Linked DNA regions of Xenopus tropicalis. The protein of the gene in region 2 binds, or shares a complex with, the protein of the main gene of each other region. Links are inferred from orthologs where the notes say so. Each region holds a gene or a part of one and is shown on either strand. Other genes may lie near its edges.

What was found. The genes of interacting proteins can lie anywhere in the genome.
Region 1: nhp2 (region 2) and gar1 share a complex: the UniProt entries of both Homo sapiens proteins name them as parts of the H/ACA small nucleolar ribonucleoprotein (H/ACA snoRNP) complex. The link is inferred for Xenopus tropicalis from reciprocal best matches to the Homo sapiens genes NHP2 and GAR1.

Annotation. Positions count from the first base shown.
Region 1 is NC_030677.2:68,656,226-68,660,422, reverse strand, and holds the start of gar1 (H/ACA ribonucleoprotein complex subunit 1), read left to right. Parts: upstream 1-1,397; 5' UTR 1,398-1,458; intron 1,459-3,987; 5' UTR 3,988-3,988; coding exon 3,989-4,181; intron 4,182-4,197. UniProt on the Homo sapiens protein: Required for ribosome biogenesis and telomere maintenance. Part of the H/ACA small nucleolar ribonucleoprotein (H/ACA snoRNP) complex, which catalyzes pseudouridylation of rRNA.
Region 2 is NC_030679.2:47,807,131-47,811,174, reverse strand, and holds the start of nhp2 (H/ACA ribonucleoprotein complex subunit 2-like protein), read left to right. Parts: upstream 1-1,244; 5' UTR 1,245-1,303; coding exon 1,304-1,451; intron 1,452-2,637; coding exon 2,638-2,707; intron 2,708-2,796; coding exon 2,797-2,902; intron 2,903-4,044. UniProt on the Homo sapiens protein: Required for ribosome biogenesis and telomere maintenance. Part of the H/ACA small nucleolar ribonucleoprotein (H/ACA snoRNP) complex, which catalyzes pseudouridylation of rRNA.

The DNA of each region.
Region 1 (4,197 bases), on a different chromosome or scaffold from region 2:
CCAACATCTCAGCAGAGGAAAAGTGTGTGGGTCCCCCAGAATTTCCTTACATACACAGGGTGCTGCCCCCCCCCCCTTCCACATTTCATTGCAGGCACAGTGTACAGTAGACTCCCTCCGCTATACATTTCTTATGGACTGCCTCAATGCTGCCCTATCCCAGGCCAAGCAAAAATACTATAATACACTTATAAATAATAAAAACAATCCATGGTGCTTGGTTACCATATTCTACTCACTTCTTCATCCTTTACCAAATAAATCACTCACGTCTAAACATAGCCCCTGGAACTTTGCTATTTTAAAAGCAAAGTCAATTCTACCCGCAAACAATTTTCTGGTACTTTTCTATCTTTAAAACAGCTGCACCCTCCACTGAAACATCCTTATGTAGAGTTGCAAATGATCTCTAGATGCCAAGGCCAAAGGACACTACCCTGTTCTCATTGCCTGGACTTATCCTCTGCTTTTTGATACTCTAATGCAAATTAGGGATGCATGAATCCAGGATTCAGTTAGGGATTTGGCCAAGATTCTACCTTTTTCATCAGGATTCAGTCGAATCCATGGTCCTGGCCAAACCGAATCTTTAAAAGACATGTCAATCCCAAAACTACATTTTTGCCCAATACAAAAAAAACATAATTCTAGGCAACCTTCCAAAATGAATTTATTAAAGATTTTCAGTGCTTTAAAAGTTATTTGTAAATGTAATTGTCATTAATTGGTCAAGTCCTGTGATTAAGGGCCAATGTCCAAACCTTGTGTACTTTTGTTCTATGTGCGAGTAATTTTGTATATTTAGAAATAGTTATACTATACCTCCACCCCCCAACACACACAGAATTATATCTGTATCTGTATAGCATTTCTTTTCTCCCATTGGGCTAGTTAAATCCATAACCAGTTCAGCTTTCCCATATTTCTTTTAAGTGTGTTACCCTCCCACTCTCTAGATTTGTGCCTTGCTGCCAAAAATAATTGGAGAATTATTACTCATGATTATTTTATCTACTTGCTAGCCCCATCCCCAAAAGATTTTTTACATACACCCAATGGGATTAATTCAACTGCTTTTCGATGTAAAATCCATTTTTAATGGGGTATTTTAGTTCAGCAACTGAGTTCAATTACAATACCAAGCGGTACCATAATTACTGGCTGCTCGGTAATAAGCTAAATATATGCGTTATTTTCTGCGGTGCGTCCAGCTTTGCCTTTCCCTAACCAAATCACAGAAGCTCTCATTGACTCCATTCATTCAGTTCAGTAAATGGACACAAACACGTAAGCGCGTTTCCTTTAATAGCCGCGCCGTTTGATGACGTGAATGCTGTGCGCCCAAGTACGATGTACGCAGTCCACGTGTTGTTGAGTCGGAAGTGGTGGGAACGTGTGCCGGAGTGTACTCTGGGTAGTTTCAGAGTGCCGCATGCAGGAAGCCAAACGCAACTAAAGGTAAATGTAACTCATTGCTTAATTGAGGGTAGATACGATCTGTCATGGTCATTTTAAAACATGCATTTCATTTTATTTGTCCAGTCCAATGATCGTTGAGATGAAAAGTAAGGGTGTACGACTGCTATCCTGGGTTTTAAAATACTGTTCTCTAGCTCGGATCAAACAGATGTTGAGCCTGCATGGAGGGCTGGAGGTTATACTTCCCTGTGACGATATTCTTCCACTCTGTGCTTCACCCCTGATCATTACAGGTCACTAATTCATGTAACATTGATTTTAACATTATTATACATCCAGGCCCTCCAGTGCTATTTGGTCAGATAATATTTTGTCATCCATTGCCTGGATTTAGTATGGGGATCATGGAGTTATGTCATTGCTTATATACATAAGTGATGGGCACATGAAATGATTTTCAACTAATACTATGCTTACTATCAAAGTGTGTCAGGGGGTTGTTTAAAGTTGCAGTTCAGTTCATCTTCATGTAAGCAAATGTTTATGGCAGACAAATATGGGCACATTTATCAAAGTGACAGTGCAAAAACTGTTAAACTTCTGTGCATGATTTTGGAAGCCTCCCATAGGACTCAATGGCACTCTGCAGCTCCGACCTGGCCCAAGGAAAGTCTCCCATAGGGCTCAATGGCACTCTGCAGCTCCAACCTGGCCCAAGGAAAGTCTCCCATAGGGCTCAATGGCACTCTGCAGCTCCAACCTGGCCCAAGGAAAGTCTCCCATAGGACTCAATGGCACTCTGCAGCTCCAACCCGGCCCAAGGAAAGTCTCCCATAGGACTCAATGGCACTCTGCAGCTCCAACCCGGCCCAAGGAAAGTCTCCCATAGGGCTCAATGGCACTCTGCAGCTCCAACCCGGCCCAAGGAAAGTCTCCCATAGGGCTCAATGGCACTCTGCAGCTCCGACCTGGCCAAAGGAAAGCTACGATAACAAAGCTTTAATAAATTCCAAAACTTTCGTACTCGTTGCGACAAATATGATTTTGTCGTACAAATTGTCACAAAGAATGAAAAAGTTGCACAAATTAACAAGAAAATCGCAGAAAATACGCACCGTTCTAAAATTTTGAAAAAATATGAATTTTTAGTATTCAGACTCAATCGTACATTGATGAATGTGCCCCATAATGTAACTAAAATTTTTTATTATTCTGTTCGATTTCCATTTAAATAGTGTTACACTGATCACAGAGGTTTGACATGACTACTTAACTGTGTGCCCAGACTACCTGAGATTCAACAATCTTTTACCCGTTAAAGAAATCATTATTTGGTTGCTTGAATGCATGGCTAAACTGTATGATTTTTAACTGTTTAGGTGACTTCACCTAATGGAAAACTATACCCCCAAGCAATTAGGTCTCTATAAAAACATATTGCATAAACAAGCTCATATGTAAAACCCTGCTTCATCTGAATAAACCGTTTTCATAAAAATATACTTTTTTAGTAGTATGTGCTATTGGGTACTCCTAAATAGAAAATTGCCATTTCAAGAATTAAGGGCTGCCTCCTGGGATCATAAGATTCACAGTGCACACAAACAAGCCAAGGCACACATGTATTCAGTGGACAGTTCTGTCTTTTGCTTCCACACTACTTCTTGTTACAGTTGCATTATTTCTGGTCATGTGATCTCAGAGGGAGCACACAGCCCATCACTAAATGGTGAATCAAGGGAAAGGGCAATATTTACTGATAAGATTCTTTAATAGCCTACTTAGCATATTATAAACTATCTGTTGGTTAGGTATTCATTCTGGGGGGTATAGTTTTCCTTTTAACTTTGCACTATATATTCCCCCCACAATGCAGCAAATATAGATTCTAACTCTGTACTGCACCACTGTAGGATTAGTACATTAAATGAGCTTGCCCCTGCATAGCAAAATGCTACCTCGAAGATAGTATTCTTTGTCAAGCATGGTAATGCATGCATTTTGACATCTGTTGGTAGAAAACTAGGAGTTGTAGTCCAAACACATATGGAGATCTTCGGGTTACTTATTGTTTGGAAGAGTTTTGTCTTTATGTAGTTCAGTGACACAATCTCTATTTAACATTTATAAATACCCCATTTTGCTTATCAATTTGAAGCTGAAAAAGTTCCATGAGACATATAGGTATGAGATGCATTATCCAGAAACCTAATATCAGTAATCAGCATTATGTGGGAATGCCATTTCCAATAGTGTCCAATTTAACAAACAGTTCATCACTTCTCATTGATGGTAACGAGACTCGCATAAATATATGATGAGCACAATACAGTCCTTTTTTTATTTAACAGGCTGCTTATCCAAAAAAACCCCAAGTCTCAAATATCCCAAGTAGCACCTGTACATGTATTTGCATAATAATTTTAATAGTGTCCTATAGGTTATTGGTATGGGTAATTGTAAAGCCACCCTACTGACTGCTTAAAACTGACATATGTTTATTGTTTCATTACATTTGACTTTTATTGATGACTTAAAAATCACTGCTCCAACTATTCTTTCAATAAGGATGTCATTCCGAGGGAGAGGAGGCTTTAACAGAGGTGGAGGAGGAGGAAGAGGAGGTGGTGGTTTTGGAGGAAGAGGAGGTGGCCGTGGAGGTTATGGACAGGGTGGTGGAAGAGGTGGGTTTGGAAGAGGAGGCGGACGTGGAGGCTTCAACAGAGGAGGATATGACCAAGGTCCTCCTGAGAGTGTTGTTGGTAAATATATTTATAT
Region 2 (4,044 bases):
CAACGAGCCCATGCGGTCCCCGAGCCGACTGGATTTTCTAACCTGGCCGATCGATATCTGGCCAATTTCAGGCCAGATATCGGTTGGCCAGGCTGCTCGTTTCTGCCCACACACAGGCCGATTAGCTGCCGAATCGGTCCAAGGGACCGGCCCGTGTATGGGGGCCTTTATTCTTTGCAGCTTTCAAATTGGGGTCACTGACCCCGGCAGCCAAAAGACTATTGCTCTGTGAGGCTCCAGTTTTATTTTTATTGTTACTTTTTATTCCTCATTTTTCTATTCAGGCCCTCTCCTGTTCATTTATCATTTGTCATTCAAACAGCTCCCTGGTTGCTAAGATAATTTGGACCCTAGCAACCAAATTGCTGCTGAACAAAAAGTGAAACTAAAAAACTAGAAAGAATAAAAATGAAGACTAGTTGCAAATTGTCTGAGAATATTACACTCTACATCAGGGTTCCCCAACCTTTTATACCCGTGAGCCACATTCAAATGGAAAAAATTTTGGAGAGCAACACAAGCATGAAAAAAGTTCCCGGAGGTGCCAATGAGAGCTATAATTGGCTATTTGATAGCCCCTATGTTGACTGGAAGCCTACAGAAGGCTCTGTTTGCCAATTACACTGGGTTTTATGCAACAAAACCTTGGCTCCTAACCATAAACTCATAAATAAGCACCTGCTTTGAGGCCACTGGGAGCAACATCCAAGGGGTTAGGGAGCAACATGTTGCTCATGAACCACTGGTTGGGGATCACTGCTCTACATTATACTAAGAGTTAACAGAAAGGTGAACAACCCCCTTTAATGGCAATTTTGTTTACCAGACAAAAACGTTATGGTGTTTCTCAGGATGAGAATTAGCTGGATATATCAAAAGAGACTGGAGTTTATCGTTATTTAGGACCTTACTCCTAAAGCGCAACGAGGGTCCCGGTATTATGGGTATTATTTATCGTTATCATTGCAGATTGGACTCTTTCCTGTACTTGTATCTACCTCACCACTAGAGGGCTTTAGGTCCTTCCCTTGGAAAGAAACTATCTCTCTAACCAATGATTAATTTATTTCCTTTCTACTATAGATATTAACCATACATACAAACTATACACCACAGTAAAGTCAATATTCTCTGCAATACCGCATATTCATGGCCGGAAGTTTTCCTTACGCAGAGACTAGAGCGCAAGTCACAGATTGCTTTGCATATGCCCCTCCCACCGGACACGGAAGTGCTCAGTTGTGCGAGTGTGCGCGGTTACACGTGGTTGTGCGTTGAGCCTGCTCGTCTGTGATCTAGCGAAATGACTAAAGCAAAGAAGGAGGAATCGGAGGAAGTGCCCGAAACGCCGAGCAAGTCTTACGATGAGCTGTTGGCGTATCTAAACCCCATCGCTAAGCCGCTGGCGGGCCGCAAACTCACCAAGAAACTATACAAATGTGTAAAGAAAGGTACCATGCTTACTTCAATGGCCGCTGGCTCTTTCAGGCGAATGGTGGGGCTGTAATTAGAGTTTAACACATCCCGTGAATTGTTGTTGGAGCATCTTGTCTGAAATGTGTTTTAAAAGCGATAGCAGTCAGTCCGGCTTCTTGCGCACAAATGTGGATACAGTCACTGCGATGTACAGCGATTATAAACTTCGACTTCCGCTGAAATCCTGTGCAGGGATTCAGTAGAGGCTTTTAGCTAGTGACACTCAATTCACAGGAATATGTTCAGTTCTTTTAAAAGTGAGCTTTAGGCATAATTTCTAAAATCTAGTGCTAACATGAATGAAAAATATGCAATAATTCCTAATAAGCAGAACTATAACGGCTGAAAGTCAGCCAAAGCTTAATTGCTTCCTGTCACTGTAAAGGGATGTTTGAGAGGTTTCCCCATTCATAAACCCTGCCACCAACTGTGGCTTCATATAAAGCACTGCCTGCACTGTTATGGAGCCCTTGTGAACACTTGACCCCCCCCTCCATTTTATTGTGAACCAGTGTCACTAAGATTCACCACAGGTCTGCCATCTGAGGGCCTAGAGCAGTGATCCCCAACCAGTGGTTCATGAGCAATATGTTGCTCTCCAACCCCTTAGATGTTGCTCCCAGTGGCCTCAAAGCAGGTGCTTATTTTTTAATTTCTGGCGTGGGGGCAAGTTTTGGTTGCATAAAACCCAGTGTAAAGCCAAACAGGGCCTTCTATAGGCTACCAGTCCACATAGGGGCTACCAAATAGCCAATTATAGCTCTTATTTGCACCCCCATTTTCCATGCTTGTGTTGCTCCCCAACACTTTTTCCATTTGAATGTGGCTCACGAGTATTAAAGGTTGGGGATCTCTGGCCTAGAGCATTTAGAGAGCTCACAGCAGGGCTCTCTGGTTGCCTGCAAGGGACAACTGCAAAAAATGCAGGACTTGCTTTCTTAAACATTTCATCAATAAGACCATAAATACTTGTCCATTAAATGATAGATATGCCTTTTACTTAATCTGCCAGTAATAGAGGTTTTTGAATTCACCGCTTTCTGAAATATGTACACACTGTAATAATCAGAAGCATAAACAATGCCATTCCGTTCAAGAGGTTTTTGGAAGAATTACTACAATATGGATGTATCCTAAAGATCCCTCTATTTTCCCTTTCAGCCATAAAACAAAAGAATATCCGCAGAGGAGTGAAGGAAGTACAAAAGTTCATCAACAAAGGAGAGAAAGGGTAAGAACACTTATCCTTTTCTGAAACATCAATTAACCTCCACGGTAATAGTAGCTTACTGTACAGTTCTGACTTCTGAATATTTTTAGGATTGTAGTAATGGCTGGTGACACCCTTCCCATTGAGGTGTATTGTCACATCCCTGTAATGTGTGAGGATCGCGGCATTCCTTATTCATACGTTCCATCCAAATCAGTGAGTATTCTTTTTCCTTCACTTTTCTTCTAAACTGACAGTTCATTTCAGTGTGTACCAGTGGTTGCCAAAAATGTGCTGAAAAAGTCATCCTCGGCTTATACTCGAGTATATGGTTTTGTAATTCGTTGTGCACGCACGCCCACTGTGCGTACGCTCGCAAATCCCGCCCCCCCCCCGTACCTCCCTCTCCGGCCGCTGCAGGCAGAGGGGGCTGTGAGCTCCAGCAACCGGCTAGCTCACTCAGTGCCCCGGAAGAGACTGCGGCGCTGTGCGGGTCGCCCTGTGTAACTTGATCACTTCTAGCTCCGCCCACTCCACATGTAATAAGGATTTGCTTGTGAAGATATGAAGTACAGGAGACCCCCTACAAGTTGCTAGAACATGGTGTTATTATTTTAATTAAAAAAACGAATTTTTAGAAAGCACTAAGGGGTCTTATAGCTGTTTCAAAAAAAAAAAAAAAAATGGGGGATACCAGGTTTCCAGATAAAAAATCATATACAGAAGCATAACCATGGCAGGGTAGAGGGAGAGTCCTGGGAGCAGACATGCCAATAATTCATATATAATTTGATATGATAGATTTGTCATATCAAATTATATATATATATCGGGGACACACCTGACTATGTGGCTACAGTGAGGGTATAACTGCCCTTGGGAAGTGTTATCTTGCTCCTGGCTCGGCTCATGTTCCCCTCCTGCCTACATATTAATGGCCTCCTGGGATGTGTAGTTCCACAGAAGCTACTGCCATTCTGGCTGAGCACTCTCACAAATAGAAGCTTTGCTGTCAGTTGTGCTGGGAGACATGCTGCATTGCGATGGGAGCACACACAGCAGGATGGCAAGTACTTGATACTTAGTATGGCAGCTTCCTTAGCCTTCCCAAACTTGCCTGACTGTTAAAAAAAAAAAAAAAAAAAAAACTTAGCAGTAGCTGCTGCATTTCCCACCCTAGGCTTATACTCGAGTCAATAAGTTTTTCCAGGTTTCTTAGGTAAAATTAGGTACCTCGGCTTATATTCGGATTGGCTTATACTCGAGTATATACAGTAAATAATCTTTTAGTACACTTAAGGTATGGAGATCCAAATTACGGAAAGATCCCTTATCCAAGAACCCCCAGGTCCTGAGCA